Linked DNA regions of Saccharomyces cerevisiae S288C. Changing the gene in region 1 together with any one later gene gives a genetic interaction. Each region holds a gene or a part of one and is shown in the gene's direction. Other genes may lie near its edges.

The links.
Region 2: mutations in FBP1 (region 1) and DAL2 together harm fitness more than expected from each alone (negative genetic interaction), as found in Saccharomyces cerevisiae (one large-scale study listed by BioGRID).
Region 3: mutations in FBP1 (region 1) and TRP4 together harm fitness more than expected from each alone (negative genetic interaction), as found in Saccharomyces cerevisiae (one large-scale study listed by BioGRID).
Region 4: mutations in FBP1 (region 1) and FMS1 together harm fitness less than expected from each alone (positive genetic interaction), as found in Saccharomyces cerevisiae (one large-scale study listed by BioGRID).

What each region holds. Positions count from the first base shown.
Region 1 is NC_001144.5:873,246-876,498, reverse strand, and holds FBP1 (fructose 1,6-bisphosphate 1-phosphatase), read left to right. Parts: upstream 1-1,706; coding exon 1,707-2,753; downstream 2,754-3,253. Other genes in the region: translocon subunit SEC61, read left to right, coding at 1-763; PSY3 (Psy3p), read left to right, coding at 2,945-3,253.
Region 2 is NC_001141.2:406,496-414,387, forward strand, and holds DAL2 (allantoicase), read left to right. Parts: upstream 1-4,311; coding exon 4,312-5,343; downstream 5,344-7,892. Other genes in the region: DAL1 (allantoinase), read right to left, coding at 1-1,147; DAL4 (allantoin permease), read left to right, coding at 1,973-3,880; DCG1 (Dcg1p), read right to left, coding at 5,541-6,275; malate synthase DAL7, read right to left, coding at 6,520-7,892. UniProt on the Saccharomyces cerevisiae protein: Utilization of purines as secondary nitrogen sources, when primary sources are limiting.
Region 3 is NC_001136.10:1,178,266-1,186,389, forward strand, and holds TRP4 (anthranilate phosphoribosyltransferase), read left to right. Parts: upstream 1-6,481; coding exon 6,482-7,624; downstream 7,625-8,124. Other genes in the region: SBE2 (Sbe2p), read left to right, coding at 401-2,995; YPQ2 (Ypq2p), read left to right, coding at 3,536-4,489; thioredoxin-disulfide reductase TRR1, read left to right, coding at 5,034-5,993; SPC110 (Spc110p), read left to right, coding at 7,842-8,124. UniProt on the Saccharomyces cerevisiae protein: Catalyzes the transfer of the phosphoribosyl group of 5-phosphorylribose-1-pyrophosphate (PRPP) to anthranilate to yield N-(5'-phosphoribosyl)-anthranilate (PRA), the second step in tryptophan biosynthesis.
Region 4 is NC_001145.3:309,102-317,403, forward strand, and holds FMS1 (polyamine oxidase), read left to right. Parts: upstream 1-6,275; coding exon 6,276-7,802; downstream 7,803-8,302. Other genes in the region: PEX9 (Pex9p), read left to right, coding at 1,107-2,651; STB4 (Stb4p), read left to right, coding at 3,055-5,904; MAC1 (Mac1p), read right to left, coding at 8,064-8,302. UniProt on the Saccharomyces cerevisiae protein: Involved in the production of beta-alanine, a precursor of pantothenic acid. Multicopy suppressor of fenpropimorph resistance.

The sequences.
Region 1 (3,253 bases):
CAAGAAAAGAGCCCTTGTCGAGGCCTTTTACCGTACCAATCTACCTAATATGTTCCAAGTGTTGATGACCGTGGCCATCTTCCTCTTTGTTTTATATTTACAAGGCTTCCGTTACGAATTGCCCATCAGGTCAACCAAAGTGAGAGGTCAAATTGGTATCTACCCCATCAAACTCTTTTATACTTCCAACACCCCAATCATGTTGCAGAGTGCATTGACTTCTAACATTTTCTTGATCTCTCAAATCCTTTTCCAGAAATACCCAACCAATCCATTGATTCGTTTGATCGGTGTTTGGGGTATCAGGCCGGGCACCCAGGGCCCTCAAATGGCCTTGAGCGGGTTGGCCTACTACATCCAACCATTAATGTCTTTATCCGAAGCTCTTCTGGACCCTATCAAGACCATCGTCTACATCACATTTGTTCTTGGTTCATGCGCAGTATTTTCCAAGACATGGATCGAAATCTCCGGCACTTCCCCACGTGACATTGCCAAACAATTCAAAGATCAAGGCATGGTCATTAACGGTAAGAGAGAAACCTCCATTTACAGAGAATTGAAGAAGATCATTCCAACTGCTGCTGCTTTCGGCGGTGCTACCATCGGTGCTCTTTCTGTTGGCTCCGACCTACTAGGTACTTTAGGTTCTGGGGCATCCATTTTGATGGCTACTACCACCATCTACGGCTACTACGAAGCTGCCGCCAAGGAAGGTGGGTTTACTAAGAACCTCGTTCCAGGATTTTCTGATTTGATGTGAATATAAAATGAAAATAATATCCAAAGAAAAAAAAAATCGCATTTAGCCACACCCCTCCCTCTATTTTTTTATTTTGTTACCATAGTTTTATCAACGCCTTCTTACACCTGTATAGAGCTAAATAACTATATATATGTATGCGCAAATAATTCCTAGAAAATCGTCGATTTTTATAAATTCTAACCGCCGATTAACAATATCATACGCGATCTAAATTTATAATAGGCGTGAAGCAAAGGAAGTTGATAAAAAAAAAGTAAAGAACTCCTCATAGGGGGCTCGAACCCCTGACATTTCGGTATCCTTGCTTAAGCAAATGCGCTTAAAAGCCGAACGCTCTACCAACTGAGCTAACAAGGATGAGTTCTTCGAATTTTCCAGTCTAAGATAGACAACCCATCAAACTGCATGGTCCCGGGCTAACTTCTGCTCTCTTTTCCGGACGGATGGAATCGCCGCTTTTGAATTCACCTCCGGGGTATTATTATTATTCTTAGTAGTCGCGGTCGTGCGGACACCCGGAGTTATGCGGGCCCGAAAGCTCATTATGTAGTAAAGCTAGGTAATGTTAAGGGCGTAAGAGCCAACGCAAGGCAGCAATAGCCTGGTATTCCCACATATCAAGAAAGCTTAAAAAGTTGAGACAGGGAATTTGAAGGCGAAGATTGCCGAACTGGCCAATACCCACTACTTTTTTTTTGGTTTGCTTGGTTTCTTCCTGTCGCTTGCCAACTTGTGGCATCTTCCCCACACTATATTATAAGGATCGTCCTATGTATAGGCAATATTATCCATTTCACTCGCTAACAAATGTACGTATATATATGGAGCAACAAGTAGTGCAATTACAGACGTGTATTTTGTCTTGATCTTGCTTTTTGTATGATAGGCCTAAGAATAACAGTGCGAACATATAAGAAACATCCCTCATACTACCACACATATGCCAACTCTAGTAAATGGACCAAGAAGAGACTCTACCGAAGGGTTTGATACCGATATCATCACTCTTCCTAGATTCATAATCGAGCACCAGAAGCAATTTAAGAACGCTACTGGTGATTTCACATTAGTACTGAATGCCTTGCAATTCGCGTTCAAATTTGTATCTCACACCATCAGACGTGCTGAATTGGTTAACTTGGTTGGGTTAGCAGGCGCTTCCAACTTCACTGGTGACCAGCAAAAGAAGTTGGACGTTCTAGGTGATGAAATATTTATCAATGCCATGAGGGCTAGTGGGATCATCAAGGTCCTTGTATCTGAAGAACAGGAAGACTTGATCGTTTTTCCCACAAACACGGGCTCATACGCAGTGTGTTGTGATCCTATTGATGGCTCCTCAAATTTGGACGCCGGTGTCTCCGTTGGAACTATCGCGTCTATATTCAGACTGCTACCAGACTCATCAGGTACTATAAACGACGTACTGAGATGTGGTAAAGAAATGGTAGCCGCTTGCTATGCCATGTACGGATCCTCTACGCATCTAGTATTGACATTGGGTGATGGAGTTGATGGGTTTACCTTAGACACAAACTTGGGCGAATTCATCTTGACTCATCCTAACTTAAGAATTCCGCCTCAAAAGGCCATCTACTCAATTAATGAAGGTAACACCCTCTACTGGAACGAGACTATAAGAACATTTATTGAGAAAGTCAAACAACCCCAAGCAGACAACAACAACAAGCCTTTCTCGGCTAGGTATGTTGGATCCATGGTTGCTGATGTTCACAGGACGTTTCTTTACGGTGGCCTTTTCGCATACCCTTGCGACAAGAAGAGCCCCAACGGAAAACTGAGGTTGCTTTATGAGGCCTTCCCAATGGCTTTCTTAATGGAACAAGCAGGGGGAAAAGCGGTCAACGATCGCGGAGAGAGAATCTTGGATTTGGTGCCAAGTCATATCCATGACAAATCTTCTATTTGGTTGGGTTCTTCAGGTGAAATTGACAAATTTTTAGACCATATTGGCAAGTCACAGTAGTTCAATGATCGCCTTCTTTTCTTATTTTCTTTGTTCTGTACTTTAGTACGCGAAAAAAAAAAATCTGTATATGTCCTTATATATATATATATTTATATATATATATGTGTATGTATGTGTACCGTAAGCATTACTCCTTCTAATAATGAAAATTCTTAGGAAAAGAGAAAGGAAGTAGCGAATGGAATGGGATGGAAGTTTTAAAGAACATTAGAATTTATCCTTTGTCAAACTTCATCACATCAACCAAGAACTATATAAACCTACCAAATGAATTAAGAAACCTAATTAGTGAAGAGCAGGAGAGTAAACTAGGGTTCTTGCACATCATTGAAAGTGATTTTAAACCTTCGGTAGCGCTGCAAAAGTTGGTGAATTGTACTACGGGGGACGAAAAGATCCTAATCATAGATATAGTATCAATATGGTCCCAACAAAAGCAAAGACAGCATGGCGCGATCTACATGAATTCGCTATCTTGCATAAACATCACGGGATTA
Region 2 (7,892 bases), on another chromosome or scaffold:
GGTGAGATAGTCCTACCTGATGGGATGTATTTTTACAGCACCATGTAACGATATCGACCAAAGAGCAGCCTTGGGTAAACATCAATGGCAAACCTAGTCCGACGGAAGCGATTCCTCCCCAAGAATCGAAAAAGTCACCTTTTTGCAAGTTCTTCAACTCAGGGGTGCATGGCGAATGGTCGCTCACTACTGAGCCTATAACACCTTCACGCAAAGCGTCCCATAGGCCTTGGCGATTAGACTCAGAGCGGATGGGTGGACAACATTTAAAGTAGGTGGCTCCGTCTGGGATCTGCTCTGCAGCAATACACAAATAGTGGAAACAAGTCTCTGTTGTGACTGGTAGCCCTGACGCACGTGCCTTTCTGATCAAGGGAATTGCTTTCATTGATGCCAGATGAACTATATGTACAGGAGGAACTGGTCCATTTCTGGCTCTCAAGCATTCGAGAATCAAATTGATGGCGTCTATTTCGAAAGAATCCGGCCTCGAGGACAAAAACGAAGAATATTCACGATGGCTTTGCTCGGGTTGCTGTTGGTCCTCATGTGCCTTGGGCAACTCAGCATGAAACATCATCATGGTATCCTCCTCGGCTAAGACCTTCAAGGCTTCTTCTATATATTCTTTGCCAATTGGAGGGAATTCTTCCACACCAGAATCAAGCAAGAATCCTTTGAACCCGCGAACGCCAGCTTTGACAAGCGGAATTAAGTCTGGCAAGTTGTGTGGTACCAGTCCACCCCAAAACCCAACATCGCACCACATTTGGCCCTCAGCAGCTTCCAATTTAATTCGGAAATTCTCCACATTTGTTGTGGGAGGAATAGCATTTAGCGGCATATCAACCACCGTTGTGACCCCGCCACTAATAGCAGCTTGAGTTCCAGTTTCGAATCCTTCCCAGCTAGTCCTACCGGGCTCGTTCAAGTGAACATGAGAGTCCACAAGTCCAGGCAGAATTGTACATGGAGATACGTTCTCCAGCGTATGTATTTCATATTTGGTTATCTCAGTTTTCTCCATAACCACGGAGCCTTCTAAAACATCCAGAATCGTGCCTGATTCGGTCGAATACACAATAGTCGCAGGTTTATTTGCACCATTGATAATGACATGGTCGGAAGTGATGGCATTGATAGGCATCTTTGTTCTTCGCAGTATTTCACTTTTTTTTTGCCTATACGTTTTTGCGAAATATACACTTTTCTAACCTAATTAAAGATAGCTAAAAGAAAAAGGGGTACCTTCAATTACAAGATACCAGTAGAAACTCATCACTTTTGCGTTACCTCATCATTGTCCCCTTCGATGAGATATGCCTCCTCTATATAGATAATTAAGCACCGCAATTTTGAACCACTTCTCCTGATAAAGTTCCATCAGTCCACCATCAACACATTTGCGCCTATTCGATGATCCGCAGTAAGGGACAATAGAATCGAAACATGCAGTTCCTTTCTTTCCTGCAATTCTCGGGTCTAATGTGGCTCGAGGGTATCTCTTATCGGTATTACTTTCTTATCAATGAAAAATTTCTGCCAGGGAAAATGCGCCCGCTTTTTTTCCGGCCATCCTTACTCGCTGTCGCATACAAAATAGCGCCTCTAATCTAGTTGCGATAAGGAATGTGTATGTGTAATTGAAGATCCAGGATGTTTTCCTTTTCAGGGAGATGAGAAGGAATAATAGGATGGATTGACCGCTTTGCTGTCACGTCGATAAGGTTCCTTTAAAAATTGTGTCCAATGATTAGCATAGAGAGGTAGAGTATCAGAGAAACAAGTTTGTAATCGAGAAACTTGATCTGCTAGTGTTGAGCATAGAAGGCTAGGAAAACATGGGGAAGAAAAAAAAAGTATAAATAATTAGCTTGATGAGTAGTTTGAATATATATGTTACTTTAGTTTCCCTTTTTGACCTTTTATATTCATCTACATCTTGTGATATAAAACATCAACAAAGACGAGAATGGCTAACGACGCTCTAAGTGCTATTTTCAGTAATCCTTCGAGGAAAGGTGTCCAACCCTCCACATCTATTGTGTCATATACAAACAATGAAGATGATATTATAGATGTGGAAAATGGGAAGTTCAACAAGAACAAGAATATCAACACTAATGTGTATGTGGACAACTCCTCAATAGAGGAGAGCGAAGTCGTGCCCTTGCCCGAAACAAAGTCCATCTGGAGTAAAATATACTACGATTTCATTGTGTTAGACAAGACAACTTTGAATGTTTCGTTGAAAGAGTCGTTCTTGTATAACAGAGACTTGAAACCGGTTGAAGAAGAAAGAAGGTGTTGGTCCTGGTTCAATTACTTATATTTCTGGCTGGCAGACTGTTTCAATATTAACACATGGCAAATAGCTGGTACAGGTCTACAACTAGGTCTGAATTGGTGGCAATGTTGGCTTACAGTTTGGATCGGCTACACTTTTGCAGGTATCTTCGTAGTATTGAACTCGAGATTTGGTTCCGCATATCACTTATCTTTCCCTATTACTGTTAGGGCCTCATTTGGTATATTCTTTTCTATGTGGCCGATTATAAATCGTGTCGTGATGGCTATAGTATGGTATGCCGTGCAAGCCTGGTTAGGTGCAACGCCCGTGGCACTGATGCTAAAATCTATTTTTGGCAAGAATCTGGAAGATAGAATCCCAAACCATTTTGGTTCTCCAAATAGCACTACTTTTGAATTCATGTGTTTCTTTATATTTTGGGTGGTCAGTATACCATTTGTCCTAGTGGCTCCTCATAAAATCAGGCATTTATTCACAGTAAAAGCAGCTTTGATCCCCTTCGCAGCCTTTGGATTTTTAATCTGGGCTTTGAAGAAATCGCACGGTAAAATTGAGTTGGGGACGCTGAATGATTATTCACCTCATGGTTCCGAATTTTCATGGATATTCGTTAGATCCCTAATGGCCTGTGTTGCTAACTTTGCCGCTTTGATTATCAACGCCCCTGACTTCGGTAGATTTGCCAAAAATCCTCAAGCGTCTTTGTGGCCACAATTGGTTGCCATCCCATTGTTCTTCGCCATAACATGTTTGATCGGTATCATTGTTACTGCGGCCGGTTATCACTTATATGGGGTTAACTATTGGTCACCACTGGATGTACTTGGTCAATTTTTGGAGACCACTTACACCAGAGGTACTAGGGCTGGTGTGTTCTTGATTTCTTTTGTATTTGCCTTAGCTCAACTGGGTACAAACATTTCTGCCAACTCTCTGGCATGTGGTGCTGATATGACGGCTTTGTTTCCAAGATATATTAATATTAGAAGAGGTTCTTTATTCTGTGTGGCAATGGCTCTATGTATCTGTCCATGGAACTTAATGGCCAGTTCAAGTAAGTTCACCAGCGCTTTGGGTGCTTATGCAATTTTCCTTTCCAGTATTGCTGGTGTCATTTGCGCGGATTATTTCGTAGTAAGAAGAGGATATGTGAAATTAACACATTTATTCCTGGCACAGAAGGGTTCCTTTTACATGTTTGGAAACAAATTTGGTGCCAATTGGAGGGCCTTTGTTGCGTATATTTGCGGTATCGCTCCAAATTTACCAGGTTTTATAGGTGATGTTGGAGCTCCAAAAATTACGGTTTCAGAGGGTGCAATGAGGTTATACTATTTAGGTTATCCGGTAGGTTTCTTTATTAGTGCGGTGATATACCTCATATTATGTTACTTTTTTCCTGTCCCTGGTACTCCCGTAACCAATTTTCTGACAGAGAAAGGATGGTTCCAAAGATGGGCTTATGTTGAGGACTTCGAGCAAGATTGGAAGAATGAGTTACGTAGGGATGACCTCTGCGATGACACAGTCAGTATCTATGATGGCACCGAGGAAAAGATAGTTTACTAAATAAAAATCCCAATTTATTCTCTTACCAGTAGTGATCAGGAGAATTGATAATTTCTTCAAAACACCTTAATATTCGTTCTGTGTATTTTTATGTACCTTTCTTAATCAAATTTATCAGCTTCATACATGCATTCCCGTCTGAATAATGTACTGATGATTAGCTAAACCGTCATCAACCTACCAAACTTGCGCTTGTTTGAGCCTATCAGAACTCCGGATAATTCCGACATCTTATCTTTGACTCGAATTAGCGATAAGATAAAAACACAGGAACCACAATGAAATTCAGCTGGAAGAAAAGTCTAAATTATAGACACATTTTCTGAGATCAAATGCTATAAAGGAATGGAAGTGCATTTTGCTATGATATGGGGAAATTATGAAGCCGATCAAACAATTAATTGTATCTAATCGGTCTCTTCTTTAGAAAAATGAAGTTTTTTAGTTTGGCAGATGAGGCAGAATTTAAGTCAATAATCATTTCAAAAAACAAAGCAGTAGATGTTATAGGATCTAAGTTAGGTGGTCAAGTGGTTTCTTTTTCAGATGAATGGTTTGCTTCTGCTGAAAATTTAATTCAGCCAACTGCTCCTATAAGGGATCCTACCAGATTTGTTCATTCAGGCGCATGGTACGACGGCTGGGAAACACGAAGACATAATGAGATGGAATACGATTGGGTTATCATCAAGATGGGAGTCGCTGCTGCCCATATTATTGGTGGTGAAATTGACACTGCGTTTTTCAATGGTAATCATGCACCATTTGTATCAATAGAGGCGCTCTATGACGAGGGCGAAGAAGGTAATATAGTGGAAGATGACTCGCGTTGGGTTGAGATTGTTGAGAAATTTGAGTGTGGTCCTTCGCAAAGGCATCTTTTCGTTAGAGGCAACGGCCTTACTAAAGAAAGGTTTACTCACATCAAGCTGAAGATGTACCCCGATGGAGGAATCGCCAGATTTAGATTATACGGAAGAGTTGTTCCTCCAGAACTCAAAACGAAGGATCATATAATTGACTTGGCTTATGTTTGCAATGGTGCTGTCGCTTTAAAGTATTCTGACCAACACTTCGGTTCAGTTGATAATTTGCTACTGCCAGGTCGAGGTCATGATATGTCGGACGGCTGGGAAACCAAAAGATCGAGACAACCAGGTCATACTGATTGGGCGGTAATTCAACTGGGCAGGGAGTCTTCTTTCATTGAGAAGATTATTGTTGATACGGCACACTTCAGGGGGAACTTCCCTCAGTTCATTACCGTGGAAGGTTGCTTGAAGGAGTCAGAATCAAGTGAGAACACTGGTGAAGGAACATGGGTAGAGCTAGTTGGTAAGTCAAAGACGGGGCCTGACAAAGAACATGTGTATGAAATACGTAAGAGTATAAGAGTCTCCCATGTCAAATTAACGATTATTCCAGATGGAGGAGTGAAAAGAATAAGAGTTTGGGGGTACTGATAAATACTTAACTACTGTATATTTTAAACCAATGCACTCTTGGCACTTTAAAAGTAAAGGTATAAATGTAGTTAAAAGTTTTTGTTTTGATAATTGAATGTTTTCATTTCGCTATCCCCACGCTACTTTATTTACTTCTTCTTCTTCACGACAAAACATTAAAATTTACACTCTATAAAAAACAATCATATTTCTATTTATTTTTGTGAGTTGACAAATCTTATCATAGTGATTAGAATCTGTAAACCGATCTCAATCGTGTCCAGAAACAGCGTGCCATCCCTTTGGAATGTTTTCGCCAGTTTATTTTGCAAACCCGAGAATCCTGCACAACCTAATATTACAATGTCTGAATCAAGCTTTTTAATATTTTCGCGATATATAATTTCTGCTATCTGCTGGAAATTTTCTGGACTATGTAGGTCGAGGACCTGTAAATCAGTAGATACCGTACCTTTCCATAAATTTTTGTTAACTGTATTCCCTGTCAAGAATTTCGATTCCACAGAGTTATTCAATATTGGAATCCATTCTTTATTTGAAGTAATAATAGAGAACTTCTTTCCAACCAAATTGCAATAATTAATACTACTATCTAATAACCCAACAATAGAAACATCTGCTTTTTCTTTAGCAGCTCTATCCTTTATCTTTGCTACCAAAGGATGATCTGAAAAACAGGCAATTAATATCCCGTTGAATTTCTGAAAGTAATATACCGACTCCTGGTCATCAATTAAGAGGGGAAGACAGGCCTCCATACTTTTAATACTTGTTTCCTGCCCATCAATTTGTGGTGGCGACGTGTCTGGCCCTGTGAAATAACTGATTTTACATGATTCCATTGAAAAAGTCTTTTCAATGGTTTCCCGCAAGGACACCGTCATTGACTTCGAACTATTAGGATTCACAACAAGTATTCTTGTTTCCATCGTTCGATAATTTGCTTAGCTAGTTTTTCTTTGTTCTTTTGATTTTCCTGAGGTAAGAATTAGTAATTCAGTTTCCTTACATATTCTCGCTTCAAAGGCTTAAATATGATCTGGCATGGAGAAAAAATATGAGTTCAATTTGTCATACCTTATCAGGCCTTATCAGCTCAAATTTGATTGGATTATGCGTTAAAACAGCGCCTAAAATTCTTCGAATATTCGTCAGGTTATGTACGTATACATTCTATAATTTACTTAAGTCAACTGGTTTGGCACTTGGCTTAATAATTTCATCATACAATAAAGTGGTCAAGAAGTCGCTAAAGATTTTACCAGTGACTTCAGGCAAAAAATACTTGGCTGCCAAGGCAAACTTGTTCTTTTCACCCAGCGGACTTGCTGAAGCCAATTTTGCAGTCTCTTCATTTAATATCTTAGCGGTCAATTCTGGAGTTACTTTGTCACCGGTATCACTTAAGACAACACCATGTTTAACCCACTGGTACAATTGACAACGTGATACTTCCGCAGTAGCGGCATCTTCCATCAAATGATTAATTGGGACACAACCAGATCCCCTTAACCAAGCCTCCATATATTGTAGGCCAATATCCAAGTTTACTCTGATTCCCTCAGTAGTGACTTGAGCATCTTGAATCTTCGTATTCAATAAATCAGATGATGTAACATGTACATCCGGGACAAAATATATTTGATTTGCTGTACCCATGTTACTGAAAACTTCATTACAAATCGGTGCCAATGCTGGGTGTGCTACCCATGACCCATCATGCCCATTCTTCATTTCTCTAATTTTGTCATTACGAACTTTGTTCATTGCAGCTTCATTAGCCTTTGGATCATCTTTTATGGGGATTTGGGCAGCCATACCACCCATCGCATGGACCCCTCTACGGTGACATGTATTGATCAATCTTTTCACATAAGCATCCATAAAAGGTGAAGTCATAGTCACTAGATCCCTATTTGGCAAAACGTGTTCAGGCAAGTTTCTCAGTTTTTTAATGGTCGAAAATATGTAGTCCCAACGACCACAGTTCAAACCGCTTGAATGTTCTCTTATTTGATAGATAATCTCCTCCATTTGGAAGGCCGCTGGCAAAGTTTCAATCAGAACAGTGGCCCTAATGGTACCGCGGGGCATTCCAATAAAATCTTGTGCAACACAGAATATGTCATTCCATAGTTTTACCTCCATATGGTGCTCCATCTTTGGTAAGTAAAAATAAGGTCCTTTACCAATTTTAACTAACTCTTTAGCGTTATGGTAAAAATATAAACCAAAATCGAAGATGGAAGCACTAATCGGTTCATCATCTATGTAAAGGTGCTTCTCCACCATGTGCCAGCCACGAGGTCTGACAATTAAAGTGGGCAGTCTTGAAATGTCATCCTTCAACCTGTACTCCTTTCTTGGTGTCTTGAAATCGATTTGATTTCTAATGGCATCATAAAGATTAACTTGTCCGTAAATCATGTTCTCCCAAGTTGGAGATGAAGAGTCCTCGAAATCAGTCATATATGTCGTTACTTCAGCATTCAAAGCGTTGACTAACATATTTCTCAATGGTGGCCCAGTAATCTCGCTGGATCTGT
Region 3 (8,124 bases), on another chromosome or scaffold:
CATGTAATTCCTTTTTCCCTTTTATGCAATCTATAATGTTAATCAGCGTAGATCACTATATACGCTTTTTTTTTTTTTTTTCAGCTCCGATTAGAGAGCAAAAGAGATGTAACATCGATCCTGCTATAATTAGAATACAAGTGTTGATCTTTAATTGTACTGTTTCTGCGAAAGCTATCGAGCATTTGGCTGTATTCCACTGTCCATTGTATTTTTAACTCTCCTTTTTATCATTCTGAAACATAGAGCTGTTTTGACAAAATTCAGTTTTTTCTCAATTAGTGCTTTCATTCATACGTTCGTTACAAGCTTTGAATTTTAACTTTATTTTCGGGCTTCCACCTTTGCTTCATTATTTTACTTCAGCTCTTTAGCTTTCTGTGACATTCAATTTTATTGTATGACAGCACGTCGTTTGATTAATATAGTTCCTAATACGTCTAAGCTAGACCCTTTAAAGGAGGAGGACTCAACGCATCTGAAACAAAATCAACCTAAGAAGTTTTCCACAAAGGAGTTGATGCTTTCAGAATATACCGAACGCAAAAGTTGCAGCCTTCCGTTGTCTAAATCCCGATCAGGCAGTAGTGCATCCAGTAGCACTACAGGTTCGAACGGAAAGAATATTGGAACAAGACGCCCTAGCTCCAACCTAGATTTCAATTTCGCTAGCCAAGATGTTGTTAAAAATGTATTAGGTAATAATAATCCACACGTACCCACAGCGAAGTGCATTAGGCCAATATCAGATGATTCTATAGGTACATCGAGCACAGAGATATTTTCTTCATCGCACTCAAATACGACATCTGATTCTTTATGTACATCAGATATAAGCTCAGAAGAGGGTGAAATAGCAAACAGTAAGATGGAGGATAACTGCTTCTTCAAAAGTATGAGAGAAGCTGACCATAGAAGCAATATTACGCCCTTAAAGAAAAGCCGACCGGGATCAATACTACAGAAAACACGTACAGCAAGTAGCGCTGATAAAACAATCTGCTCAATGAGTACCATAACTACATGCATTCCATCTCGTCAAAATTCGGTGTCAACTCCTAAACTCTCCAGGACAGTAGGGCTGCCTGGATCGAGCAATACAACCAACAGTATAGCCGCATCACAAACTTCATTCATAAGCGAGAATGACTCTCCTCTTAAACATCATTGCATGAGTACCGCAACTATCCAAGAACCAAAACTCATGCCGATCACAAAAACGCCGTATGTGCATTCCAATAGTACTTCTGTAATATTACCATATAAAACAACCCAACTTACTCCTTCTCAACGTTACCGTTTAAGGAAAGAGCAAAATGACCAATCTTTGCGTAAAGCCATAAAAATGAAAGAAAAATTTTATGAAGATCAAGACGTTAACTTGGAACTTCAAGAGGGCGATGTCGACGGCTCGTTAATTTGGAACATTCCAATGGCATCTTTATCGACCAGTTCTTTTTTAACATTATCTAAGTTTAATAGAAAAGAAATGAGTTTAGATTCAGCGCGGGGGGATGAAGAGATATTAATACAGGAGAACAATTGCGAAGGCAAACAACACTCATCTTCGGCTCTCTGTGTGGACAAAACTTTCCATCAGGTTCATAGTACTAGAAAACATACATCAAATTCAAGTAACACTTTAAAAGAATCATGTCTGGACTATAAGGAGCTTCCGCCAACATGCATTCCTGGTATATCTCCTGTGTCTGATTCACAGTACATCCAGGATACAATGAAAAATCTCTCCCAAATATACCTGCATAGTTCCGAAAAAATCTCCAAAAGTATTCTTTCTGGTCGTTCAAGATCTGTACAGAGTTTACCACTGGAATTTAAAGAAGCCAGTAGTCAGGGAATGGAAGACCTAATGCTAGTTTCAGAGGACAAACTAAAGGCCGTAAGTCATTTCCGTCCGAGTTGGCTCCCGCCCAAGGATTTCAAAGAGAGGAAATTGCAAGATAAACAAATCTACAAAAATATCGACTTAGCATCAATGGAAGAGTTGCAAAAAAATAAAGAACGTGACGAAAAAGCCAAAAAGAATGAGCAGAATAAGGTCAAATTCCAGCATTTACTGGACCGAGGCATTACTCGTAACTCGTCATTAAGTGAATTAAAGAAAATTATTTGGGAAACACCTTTGATATCTAAAGTACGGCTTCAAATATATAGTCAACTTCTACAAAGTGACAATTGCTTGATAACAAAATGTTTTATTGAATCATTTGAGGAAGTAATGCAGCTACTCAACAAAATGGATTTTCCCAAAGATAAAGAATTTGAAATAAGACAGCTTATTGAACACGATGTACAGGAAAAGGTTTTTTATAAAAATGGAACAGATAAGCAAGTGGTTTCTGACTTGATGCTATTACTGCAACTGAAATCTATATCTCAACAAGGTTTGGTTACTGGTGATGAGATGCTATTCTACCATTTTTTAACTGATCAATCTTTTGGGACTTTGAAGGAAACATGGGAAATGGTCAACTTGATACAGATGACGTGCTTCAGTGAAATTTGCAAGGAAAAATACGATTCAAGAATATTAAATCCCAGAGGAATTGTTGCCCATCTTTTACGAAAAGATGAGTTCAAAAATGAATTCAATGGCGGATGTTTGAATAGCAATACATGGTGGAACATATTGCAAAGAATGGACCATAAACTTTTTATGTGGGTAATGGATGTAATTATCGTTCATAATGGCCAAAACTTTGCAAACTACCCCGTAAAAATGGAAATATTCAAAGACAAAGTATGGGAATACTATAGATCTAAGAAGGTTATTGTAAATTATAAGATTTTGGTTTCACTAACAGTTAACGTATTGTTAAACTACCACTTCGGATATGATAATCTGAAACATTTATCAGATTTGGATGATAAGCATTTTTGTATTCCACTGTATACGGAGGATAGTATCGAAGAGGAAAACCTCAATAATATTTTCACAAAGTGGTGGTTGCACTACTACCGAAAATTACGTTAGCGTGTATGTGGCACGTACTAAAAGTTTGGTGACCAGACTATCTCTTCTTAAGTTCATTTTCACTCTGAAACTTATAAATGCATACATACAGAAATTACTTTCGATTAATATAATAATATATTTTTAATAAACAATGAACTAATGCCCTTATTGTGTTTTGTTATTAACCTTTTCATCACCATTTTTTTTTGCTAGCTTCTACGGCATTCACTTACGTGCTGCAAAATTTCGCAGCATGGAAGAAATTGTTCGCGAAGAAAAAAGATTTCGCTCAGTGATTTGTAGTGACAATAGGTACCAGTGTTATCACTAAGTATATCTTTTAGTATATCTCTTCGCTTGAGGAGGGATCAAAAAAAAACAAACGTAAACGTGCACATAAACGTCAAGTACTTTTTGCAGGCATTAATATTCGTCTCCAACAAAGACAAATAAAGAAGCAATCTTTTCATTACCTTAAGCCAGTATCTATTGATATCAATCGATAAGGTTCGTTGTTATCGGTGCTAAAAATTATAAAGTGAAAATAAGAATCTTTTCATGTCGTGCTCAAACGGCATCTGGCCTACTGTATCTAATTTGTGCGGATCATTATCCTTCTTCACCTCTGTTATTTCATTGTTTCCACAAATAATTGAGACTTATCGAGATAAATCTGTCGATGGGCTATCGCCATATTTTTTGCTGGCTTGGTTATGTGGGGATATTACCTCGCTGATAGGGGCAAAGCTAACAGGGCAATTGTTATTTCAGATACTTTTAGCAATTTATTTTCTATTGAATGATTCTTTTGTATGTGGTCAATATTATTACTATGGCGTGCTGCATGAAAATAAATTGGCGACTGTCGGCCATGAGCCTAAACCTCTTCTTCCCGAACTGGTTGAAAATGGTGAGCTTTTGAGGGAGGAAGAGGACATGATACAAGGTGGTAGCAGTGCAGAAAGCCCTAGAAGCAGTAGAAGAAGGTCTGCCATTACAGCAGCCTTGGCTATAGCTCATACTATAAGTACAGCTAGCGCATATCCGCTAAATGTAGGCTCCACCCAATCACAAGTGGGGCCTCCCGGAGATGGTAAAAACAGCCAGCTGGGTACAATTTTATCTTGGATTGGCGCTTCCTTCTACGTAGGCGCACGTATCCCACAACTAATCAAGAATTACAATAGAAAGTCTACAGACGGCTTATCTCCCTTCCTATTTGCTACTACACTACTCTGCAATATCACGTATAATTTGAGCATCTTCACAAGCTGTAGATTTTTAGATAATCAGAACAAGAGGGAATTCATCGTGAATGAGTTGCCCTTTATATTTGGAAGTGCTGGAACAATTGCGTTTGATTTGATATACTTCTACCAATACTATATCCTTTATGCAACTGATATGCAACTACGTGAACTGGAAAGAGAACTATACAGTCCTGAAGAAGACAGTGCAGCGCAACTAGTGACAGAACGTACATCACTGTTGTCTGGTGAAACGCAAACATAGTTTTCCCTACGGAGTACTACCATTTATATTTAAACAATGCACTCTGCTCTTGGGATAGTCCTTGCGAGACCCTTTTTTCCCAATAGGAATACTACGTTCGTACTCTGTGTAAAAGTACCCAACTATAGTTAGCGCCAGTTTTACGTAAAACCGTCTATGTCTTGTTTGCATTCGCAACAGCTACAAACACATATAGTTTGTCACACTAATATTAATAATGAAAGTTATTATGTATTCACTGTGAACGCTTCAGTATACAGTACGGCAGTAAGTGTTTCATTCTGTTCTGGATTAATAATCTTTCACTTTGCCTAGCCATTTGGGGGCGGGTTTTGGCTGGGTTAGCTTCTCCTTAGTCATGGAGAAAAAAAATCGCCCGCAAGTATCTCGAAAAAGGAAAAAATGCCCACGCGTATAAGAGTGGACCCAACTGCTCGAGGTTTCAAGAGCTTGTAGATTAATTTCTGTAGTTCAGTTATACTTGCCTACAAGTGCTATACAGCAAATAGCGAACAGTACGAAAGTAAACATCATATTATCAATAATGGTTCACAACAAAGTTACTATCATTGGTTCAGGTCCAGCTGCACACACCGCCGCCATCTATTTGGCCAGGGCAGAAATCAAGCCAATCCTATATGAAGGTATGATGGCGAACGGTATTGCTGCCGGTGGCCAGCTAACCACCACTACAGAAATCGAAAACTTCCCAGGTTTCCCAGATGGTCTAACAGGTAGCGAACTGATGGACAGAATGAGAGAACAATCCACGAAGTTTGGCACTGAAATTATCACGGAAACAGTTTCCAAAGTTGATCTGTCTTCCAAACCATTCAAGCTATGGACCGAATTTAACGAAGACGCAGAACCTGTGACGACTGACGCTATAATCTTGGCCACAGGCGCTTCTGCTAAGAGAATGCATTTGCCGGGCGAGGAAACCTACTGGCAAAAAGGTATTTCTGCCTGTGCCGTGTGTGATGGTGCCGTCCCCATTTTCAGAAACAAGCCATTGGCCGTCATTGGTGGTGGTGACTCTGCATGTGAAGAAGCTCAGTTCTTGACCAAGTACGGCTCAAAAGTGTTTATGCTTGTCAGAAAAGACCATTTGCGTGCTTCTACCATTATGCAAAAGCGTGCTGAGAAGAACGAAAAAATTGAAATCCTTTACAACACTGTTGCGCTAGAAGCTAAGGGGGATGGTAAATTATTGAATGCCTTGAGGATTAAGAACACTAAAAAGAATGAAGAAACCGATTTGCCAGTCAGCGGTTTATTTTATGCAATTGGCCACACTCCAGCAACAAAGATTGTCGCTGGCCAAGTCGACACTGATGAAGCGGGCTACATTAAAACTGTCCCAGGCAGCTCATTAACCTCCGTTCCAGGATTTTTCGCTGCTGGTGATGTTCAGGATTCTAAATACAGACAAGCTATTACTTCTGCTGGCTCTGGTTGTATGGCCGCTTTGGATGCTGAGAAATACTTAACTTCCCTAGAATAGATGAATTTTCCATTATAAAATAGATACACTCAAATTTTTGTATACTTATCCAACAAATCGTTACTTTCTCCTTTTCTTTAATAAAAAGCAAACCATGAATTTTATTTCTTTTCCCCATTATTAGAGAAAGCCAATACATAATCTACATATATTGCGTGTCTGAATTAAACTTTTTAGACACATGACATAGGCCATCGGCTTACTTTGTAACGCGTGGTTGCCTATACACCGACTATTAAGTTATGACTAATATTATTGCTGCGCTTCCCCACCTGCATTTTTCTTGTCGTCTTTGCCAAAAGGAAAAAAAAACCTACGCAGATTGACTCTCTAAAAAATGATTCATGACCAGACAATTCAGTAAACATAAACTCTGTTGCATTCATTCTTCTGGAAAACTTTATAATAAAGCATCTGATATTACAGCTACTGACAACTAAGTGAATTTAAACTGCAATAATCACAAGAAAACTTAGTATTCCCTTATCATGTCCGAGGCGACTTTGCTATCTTACACCAAGAAATTATTGGCTTCTCCGCCGCAATTGAGTAGCACAGACCTACACGATGCGTTGCTGGTTATATTAAGTCTTTTGCAAAAATGTGATACAAATAGCGATGAGAGTCTTTCCATCTATACCAAAGTTTCGAGTTTTCTCACGGCCTTGAGAGTTACTAAACTTGATCACAAGGCTGAATACATTGCGGAAGCTGCAAAGGCTGTGCTCAGACATTCCGACCTTGTTGATCTACCTTTACCCAAGAAGGACGAATTACACCCGGAAGATGGACCAGTAATCTTAGATATTGTAGGTACTGGTGGTGACGGACAGAATACTTTTAATGTTTCCACGTCTGCTGCTATCGTTGCCTCCGGAATTCAGGGCCTAAAAATTTGTAAGCACGGTGGTAAAGCTTCTACATCCAATAGTGGAGCTGGTGACCTAATTGGAACTTTAGGCTGTGACATGTTCAAGGTTAATTCATCGACAGTGCCCAAACTTTGGCCTGATAATACGTTCATGTTTCTACTTGCTCCTTTTTTTCATCATGGAATGGGCCACGTTTCTAAGATACGCAAATTTCTTGGAATTCCGACTGTTTTCAACGTACTGGGACCACTTCTACATCCAGTTAGCCACGTAAACAAGAGAATATTGGGCGTTTACTCAAAGGAACTTGCGCCTGAATATGCCAAGGCAGCCGCTTTGGTATATCCAGGAAGCGAAACTTTTATAGTTTGGGGACATGTTGGGTTAGACGAAGTATCACCTATAGGCAAAACTACTGTCTGGCATATTGATCCGACATCGTCCGAACTTAAATTGAAGACCTTCCAATTAGAACCTTCTATGTTTGGTTTAGAAGAACACGAGTTGTCGAAGTGTGCTTCATACGGCCCTAAAGAGAATGCGAGAATTCTAAAAGAAGAAGTCTTGTCCGGCAAGTACCACCTTGGCGACAATAATCCTATTTATGACTACATCTTGATGAACACCGCCGTGTTATATTGTTTAAGCCAAGGTCACCAGAACTGGAAGGAAGGGATCATTAAGGCAGAAGAAAGCATACATTCTGGTAATGCATTACGTTCTTTAGAACACTTTATAGATAGTGTGAGCTCCTTGTAGACATTATTTCATATGTTATACTTAAACTAGATAGAGACGTTTTATTTGTACTAAGCTGAACATTACCCTAATTACGCGTTATAAGTTTTAATCCTTCATTTTGAAGGAAAACAAATAAACAAAAAGTTGATGTGGAACAAATACAATGTGCGCGGATATCTTAAGCAACTTCGTTAGTTACAGTCCACACAAAGCGAAAAAGGGCTGATAAACACTCATGGACGAAGCGTCACATCTCCCAAATGGGAGCTTGAAGAACATGGAATTTACGCCTGTAGGATTTATCAAATCCAAGCGAAACACCACGCAAACACAAGTTGTATCGCCTACTAAGGTTCCAAATGCCAATAATGGTGATGAGAACGAAGGCCCTGTTAAGAAAAGGCAGAGAAGAAGCATTGATGATACAATTGACTCCACAAGGCTATTTAGTGAAGCTTCACAATTCGATGACAGCTTTCCAGAAATTAAGGCTAACATTCCGCCTAGTCCAAGGTCAG
Region 4 (8,302 bases), on another chromosome or scaffold:
AAAGATTTTAGTTACAAAACGATATCAAAGTTCAATCTTGTTGGGAAAAAGGAAAACATTATGAAGGGTTTCCGGTAATCACTGCGTATGCCACACTATTCCTATAGAATTGTCTTGATTGGGTGCTTATGCTGCGGAAAAATTATATTCTGCGCTTGCCTTTTATATTAAGCGTCACAACGCCCTTACCAAGATCGAGCGGATTAAGACAAGAGTGTATCTCAAGCGTCCGTATATGTTTAAGTTGAAAAGGATATTTAGTAAGAATAATTCTACCCTACAAACGATATTAGTAAAAAAAAAAATCAATAATAGAGTTATTGTACAAACATGTTCTGAAAATTGGAAGCATCACATCGTATGCTACTAGAGAAAATTTTTACTATCCTTTTTTCCACAAGCCCAGCCCTAGCCCGATCATCCTATTAATTGTCAGACCACCGAATGCTATCCCGCCACGGTTGATATAACGAAACTCTTTACTGCTTTGGGTCAAATATGCCTCTTTTCCGCATTTTTTCGGAGTAGTTCATTGCCGCATACATACCGCAACTTGGACGAGGATGTCCTCCTTCTCTTACTTTTTTATTCGTTTCCAATTTGTTTCTCGTACCGTTCAAGTTTCAAGCCTACAAGAAATGTACACGACATGGATGCGTCAGCCTGATTCAGATATGACAAGATTGTTCCTGCGCATATGTGAATATGAGCGCACGCAATACATTGAGATCTTATTTGGGTTTGTAAGTGCAAACTTAATTTACTTTGCTTCCTGCCGGTTTTGATGTGCACCTGGGAACTTAAATAGCCGCCAAAAGAAAAGCAATCAGAGCGGCGCGGCGCAGACAAAACCCGAAGAGTTTCCTGGGAACGGTAGAGGCCTTGGTAGTACCTTACTAACGCCGGAGAGGATGATTGATACGCATTGAAATCGTACAGAAAACTTGGGGCAAAGCGCTCTTACCCCAATATTCTCACCCAAACAGTGGCAATAAATAAAGAAAAGGTCATCACTTTTTTTCGTACTCTTATCCGTTTTATTTTATTTTATTCTTTTTTTTTGAGTGGAGAATCATTAAGAATAAAGGGTACCTTTTGTAAGCACGATGAACGAAGTTACTTGTTCCATAACTGGTGACAACCCAATTCATAAGATCAACAATGGATTAGGCTTGAAATGGAATAATCTGGGTAAATTCTCTGATTTTCAGACTAACGATAGCGCCGCGCGAGATGCTAGAACAATAGATTACATCTTTACCAATTGTCAAACCGGCAGCAGTATTGGTAAGATAGATTTTCGGGCCGCACTACCGGCAGATAAATCTCAACATAGTGGTGTCAGCGAAAAAGAATTTTCAAGACTTGAGAACCAGTGGTCAAAGGAATTCTCTTGTTTCCCCAAGAATAAAAATGCTGATGTGACCAAGCCCAGTAGAAACAAACATGAGAAACGCTCCGCTAATTTGCACAATAGGTACTTTGCACAATATTATAGTACGGCATATCAGCAAAATCGTATATATCCTTGTCGAATATCTTACAATGAACACTCATCTGTTTCTAATGGCTGGGAATTTCAGTTCAAATCAATCGAAAATCAGTTACTAAATGAGCTAAAGATAGAAAACAATGTAGAAGAAAAAACTGTTGGTTATGAATATGTGGCAGAATACGAAGAAACAATTGATTTCATGCATATGCTGTCATCCGTACCACAAACATATCAATTCCTAAAATCAAACATCTACATAACGGAACGGGACCCATATAAAATAGGATGTGTACTAATGGACAACGGTTCCAATTTGAACGAAGTAGTAATGGCCTTTGAAGCAGCCATTTCACAAGATCCAAGCCATATAAATGCATGGTTGAAGTTAGGTATAGTTAATTTTGAAAATGAAAGCGAAAGCAATGGAGAGCTTGCTTTGCGAAATTGCTTAAATTTGGATCCAAATAATACAATTGCATTGGAAAACTTAGCAATTCACCATATAAATCAACAAAATGAATCAGAGTCATTGAAACTTTTTCACAAATGGATTCTTTCAAAATTTTCGAAGGTTTTCCAACCTTCTGCGGGGGAAAACAAAGATAGCATTAATAAAATTCCGAAAAAGGCCCATTTGGCGCATATTCTAGAATCCCTGTTGAATATGGGTATAGAAAAAAAAGATCAGTATGATATATATTCAGTATTATCAATCTTATATTATTCGGATCAGAAAATAAAGCAATCTCAGAAATGCTTAGAGTTTTTACTACTGGAAAAGCCCAATAATGGAACAATATGGAATAGATATGGTGCTATTTTGGCCAATACTAAGTCGTATCACTCTGCGATAAATGCGTACAATAAATGCAAACAACTAAGACCGAATTTTACAAGGGTTCGTTATAATTTAGCGATCGCCTACATGAATAAGGGTGACTATGTAAAAGCAAGCAAAATGCTAATCGAAGTTATACTGTTACGAAGTAAAGGATATGAACACAACAAAGCAAAAATGCAAAACAAATTTATGCAAAATTTAAAAAATGCTCTCATCGCTTCAAAAAATTTTGATTCACTTGATCTAATAAATGGTTCTCATAATACAGAATCGTTAATATCAACCTTAAAAGCTATTTATAACAAAATGGATTAGGTTTTAGTTAATTTTTTTGCTATATAGTGCATTCAAAATAAAAAAAATTAAAGCTGAAACAAACCAAATATGCTATTGGACGTTCGAAAAGCTAATTGCGTAAAGGAACACTAAACACAGCAAGCTTATGCTAGTTCTTCTCAAAAATATAAGTTCCTCTTGCAAGAATATGAAGGTAATTTCACTTTATCGCGCAAGTGCATATTTCTGAGTTTACTATGTGCTTCGTCTGAAACCTCTCATTATCTACTTAATATCGGCTATTCATCTCACGTATTCACGTAATATTTGATTTTTGTACTACTATTTCTCTCTGTCATACGTGCATGATACATTTCCTTGTTCAAATTAAAAGAGTCACCGTCAGCCTCTCAAAACAAAGAAAAAAGATACCCGGCTGAACATGAGTATCAATCATGAAATATATTATATACTTGTATTTGAGCATCGTTCAGTAGCAATCAAGCTCATCATCGTAGTGATTGTTCTCCTTCAGTTTTTTTTAGCACGAAGTCGGCAAATTGATAGGACATGGGCCCATACTAATAGAAAGGAACGGTTCAGAGAAATGACAGCTATCGGGAATACTGATGATGCACTTGATACTAGTACAGCCGCAAGTAAAGAAAATGGAAAAGGTAGACTCAGGGTTCAAAAAGCTTGTGAACTTTGCAAGAAGAGAAAGGTTAAATGCGACGGTAACAATCCTTGTCTGAACTGCTCTAAACATCAAAAAGAATGCCGTTATGATTTCAAAGCTACAAACCGTAAAAGAAGAAGACGACAGGTCGCATCAGCTGTTCGGGACGTTAGTAAGACATATGCAGAAACCAGTGAGTCTTTTCCTAGGGACTTGTTAAGTAAATCAAATATTATCATAAATGCCCCCTCAGATGGTGTATCTTCGTCTGCTAGCAACTCTCCCAATCCAAATTCACATTATCATCATATATCATCCACTTTACCCTTCATGAGCGGTAGGCCAAACCATACATTCCATTCCGGAAGCAACTTAAATGGAGAAAATAACAATAACAGTTTTCCGGAGGATCACATGGCTAAATTACTTCTGCAATTGAGTTCAAAATTGGGGAATACGACCAAGGAATCGTCAATTAGAACAACTAGAACCAATGCTAGTGATGTGAATGCAAACCCGACAGTGGTCAACATGAAAAATAGTCAGGAAGACTGTGACACGAATCACAGGTCTGCAATATGTGACTCTGCAGAGGCTCTTCATAATAACAACATCAATTCTAAAGAGAATAAGATAATCAACTCTCAAATAACTAACACTGTTAATGATCACTTTGAATCACCCTGGCAGACATTTTCTTTAGATAAGTATAGGTTTCACCGACGCTACCAAAATATTCTGCCCTATTACCTTGGTGTATCTATTTTAAAGGATCTATCTCCGCAGACAATAGAGTACGCGAAGTTGAAAAGGCCAAGAGTTCAAAACTATGGTTGGAACTTGTCAGGAGGCCATTACTTAAAGTATAAGGGTGACTTTAGAAGCCAAGAAAAAAATATAAGGCATGAGTCTAAATTTTTCGACTTTGATGACCCTGTTCACTTATCCTTAATCAATAAGTTACTAAGGTATTATTTTGATGAGATCAATCCTGTTTTCAGTATCATTCACGAAGCGACATTTTGGCAGCAATATAACAATAAATTTCTACGGCAAGGTAAACAAAATAATTCATCTGCGAATCTATTCACTTCCATGCTTTATCTAATTTTGTCTACTACACTAAGATTCAGAGAAGGGCATCTAGATGGTCAGAAAGGGCAAGGAACCTACAGTAACACATCCTTAAATATCACATTCGAGGAAAAATCTATTTTGATCAAAAAACCCTCCATAGAGGAAAATTTATTCAAATACGCTTATTTAATAATCAACACGCTGACCTTTGAGTGGGAATCATTCGAACTAATACAATCGTGGCTTTTGATAACCTTCTATTTCAGAACCTGTTACAGACAGACGGCGTGCTGGAACGCGTTAAGTCAAGCGGTGAACATGTGTAATGGGATGAGTCTATATTTAAACAAATTTCCTGAGATCCATTCCACTTATGATGAATCAAAAGCATGGCATTGTTTCTGGTGTTGTTTTATAATGGATAAGTTGATAAGTTTTCAAATGGGTCGATTCTACCAACTATCATTACCCGCGAGCGAGATGTGCGAACAGATGAATCTAGTGAAGTCAAAGAAATTTTTACAAGAAGAAGATGATTGGTTTCACGAAGAGACTTTTCAAATGCTTGATTTGTCCATAATAGTGACACAGTTTTTAAAAAGAGACGCACAGGATTTAAATTTGAACGAGACCGTGCAATTGCGCAGCCAACTTGGTCAATGGTATGACACCTTTATAGTTGGAAGTCAAACCAATGCGTACGACGACAATTATCGTTACTTCTATCAAGTTCAACCATTCATGACATACCTGGATATAAGGCTGACTTTCGAAGTAAGACAATTATTTTGTCTAATCGCCCCCTCATCTACCGCAAATAATAAATCCCTAGAATATGTCGTCGATACTGAATTGTTAATTTCTCATTGTCAAATGGCTATTGAAAATTTGGCTGAAATTACGAGAAGTAATCTTTTCTTTGTTCCGTGGTGGTTAAACCTTTCTCAACTATTCACGGTAAATTTAATATGTATTATCTACCTGCACGCAGGGATTGCCGTAACTCAAAATAAAGCTATCATGCAAAGCTGCCAAGAAATATGGCGAACCTTAGAGTGCTCTAAGCCAAAAAATCGGCCTTCAATGCTTCCTGAGTGCTTGTGGTGTTTGAAAATGCTGAATCATATGTTCTGCATACGACTGAGAGATTCTGCTTTGCAATTGGAAGCTACTCTCGGAACTGATCATGGTGATGACACCCCTAATAGAAATAAGTTTGAGCAGTTCAAGAAAGTTGGCGATAATGATGCGGATGTTGAAGTTGATGCTGGTGAAAGAGAAGAAAATGCTGATGAAAGACAAGAAAATCCACATAACAATAGCAAAAGAGTACCATTAGCTACTAGGTCTCATAATACCACTAACTTCGACGGTTCAATCGCAATTTCTCCGGAAAGTGCAGTAGCAAATCTAGGTACTGATACTGGATTGCCCTCAGATGTTCTTGATACTGTCAGTAAAATAGGGAACTCTCCTAATGTGTTTGATGATGATTTATTTTCCAATTTATTATGGTTTGACCAAAATTTTGCATAAGGATTCTTTTTCTATTCCATAAAACCATTTTATGGACACGTTTACCTACATATTATTATATTGTATATAAGATGTTGAAAAAATTGAGTCAACCTCACCTTACCACATGTTGGTCCGTTGCTATGACAAACTCTCGTTTTACAAGAAGGAGGCTCAAATTTCGGGTCACCCACCCATATACGGATGTCACGCTATGAGATCTTTTAAACAATAGACAATTTTTGGTATCCTAAAGATATAAAAGAGGAGTTTTTTTAAACCATGGTAACTATTTTCAAATTTGCTCTGCTGCAGTTTTTTATTTCTGTTTTTCTTTTTTTGTTCCCAACAAGAAGTGAGTTAATAAAGGCAAAAACAGTGGTCGTGTGAGAATGAATACAGTTTCACCAGCCAAAAAAAAGGTTATTATAATTGGTGCCGGTATTGCTGGGCTTAAAGCTGCATCTACGCTACACCAAAACGGTATTCAAGATTGTCTTGTTCTTGAGGCCAGAGATCGGGTCGGTGGTAGGTTGCAAACTGTCACAGGCTATCAAGGTCGGAAATATGATATAGGTGCTAGCTGGCACCATGATACGTTGACAAACCCTTTATTTTTGGAAGAGGCTCAACTGAGTTTGAATGATGGGAGAACGAGGTTTGTTTTTGATGACGATAATTTTATTTATATCGACGAAGAACGTGGAAGGGTAGACCATGACAAGGAACTGCTTCTTGAAATTGTGGACAATGAAATGAGCAAATTCGCAGAGTTAGAATTCCATCAACACTTAGGAGTTTCAGATTGCTCCTTTTTTCAATTAGTAATGAAATACTTACTACAAAGACGCCAATTTCTCACAAATGACCAAATAAGATATTTGCCACAACTCTGTCGATATCTGGAATTGTGGCACGGCTTAGATTGGAAGCTTTTGAGTGCCAAGGATACATACTTCGGTCACCAAGGAAGGAACGCCTTTGCTTTGAACTATGATTCTGTGGTTCAAAGAATTGCTCAAAGCTTTCCTCAAAATTGGTTAAAGCTAAGTTGTGAAGTGAAATCAATTACACGAGAACCTTCAAAAAATGTGACAGTGAACTGTGAAGATGGTACTGTGTACAATGCTGATTATGTTATTATTACAGTACCTCAAAGTGTATTGAATTTGTCTGTACAACCTGAAAAAAATTTACGGGGAAGAATAGAATTTCAACCACCCTTGAAACCAGTGATTCAAGATGCTTTTGACAAGATCCATTTTGGAGCGCTAGGTAAAGTAATTTTTGAGTTTGAAGAATGTTGTTGGTCGAACGAAAGTTCAAAAATTGTAACTTTGGCTAACTCTACCAATGAATTTGTCGAAATAGTACGTAATGCGGAAAATTTAGATGAATTAGACTCTATGCTAGAAAGGGAAGATTCTCAAAAGCATACGAGTGTTACTTGTTGGAGCCAGCCTTTATTTTTCGTAAATTTGTCAAAAAGCACAGGAGTAGCAAGCTTTATGATGTTGATGCAGGCACCGCTTACAAATCACATAGAATCCATTAGAGAAGATAAAGAGCGTCTTTTTAGTTTTTTCCAACCTGTGCTGAACAAGATTATGAAGTGTCTAGATTCTGAGGATGTCATCGACGGAATGAGGCCGATAGAAAACATTGCAAACGCTAATAAACCAGTCTTAAGAAACATCATCGTTAGCAACTGGACACGCGATCCTTACTCACGCGGTGCTTATTCGGCCTGTTTTCCAGGAGATGATCCAGTTGATATGGTTGTTGCAATGTCTAATGGTCAAGACTCCCGCATAAGATTTGCAGGCGAACATACTATCATGGACGGCGCCGGCTGTGCCTATGGTGCTTGGGAAAGCGGAAGACGGGAGGCGACTCGAATCTCTGACTTACTGAAATAGAATCTATTTTTTCGAAATTACTTACACTTTTGACGGCTAGAAAAGGATATACATACATATTAAAATTTTTAGTAACACTCTGTGCTTTTTCAAAAATTTGAGGTACACCTAATTCTCCCACTTGTTGCTTATACCAAGTTTGAACAATTTTAATGTTAAGCACAATAGATTGGAATATTATCATATGGTGGTTCAGAGAGTAGTAGGGTGCATTTTCATTCCTGTTGCCTCAATGTGTTTTCTATCTGTATTTACGTGATTTTATGAAGTGGTGGCATCGCTTAGATGTGGTGCATAATTAGAGACTAATTTTTGAAACCACGCATGAATGTCAAGTAATTCTAACTGAGCATCTGTCATCAATGGCACTTGCAACTTCAAAAAATCCCACCAATATTTTGACGGCACCAATTTACCTTTGAATTTTATTTGAGTTTTCCTTGTTAATCTTGCATTCAGAATTCCATAGAAAAAGAATTTTTCAAATGGAATTATATTTG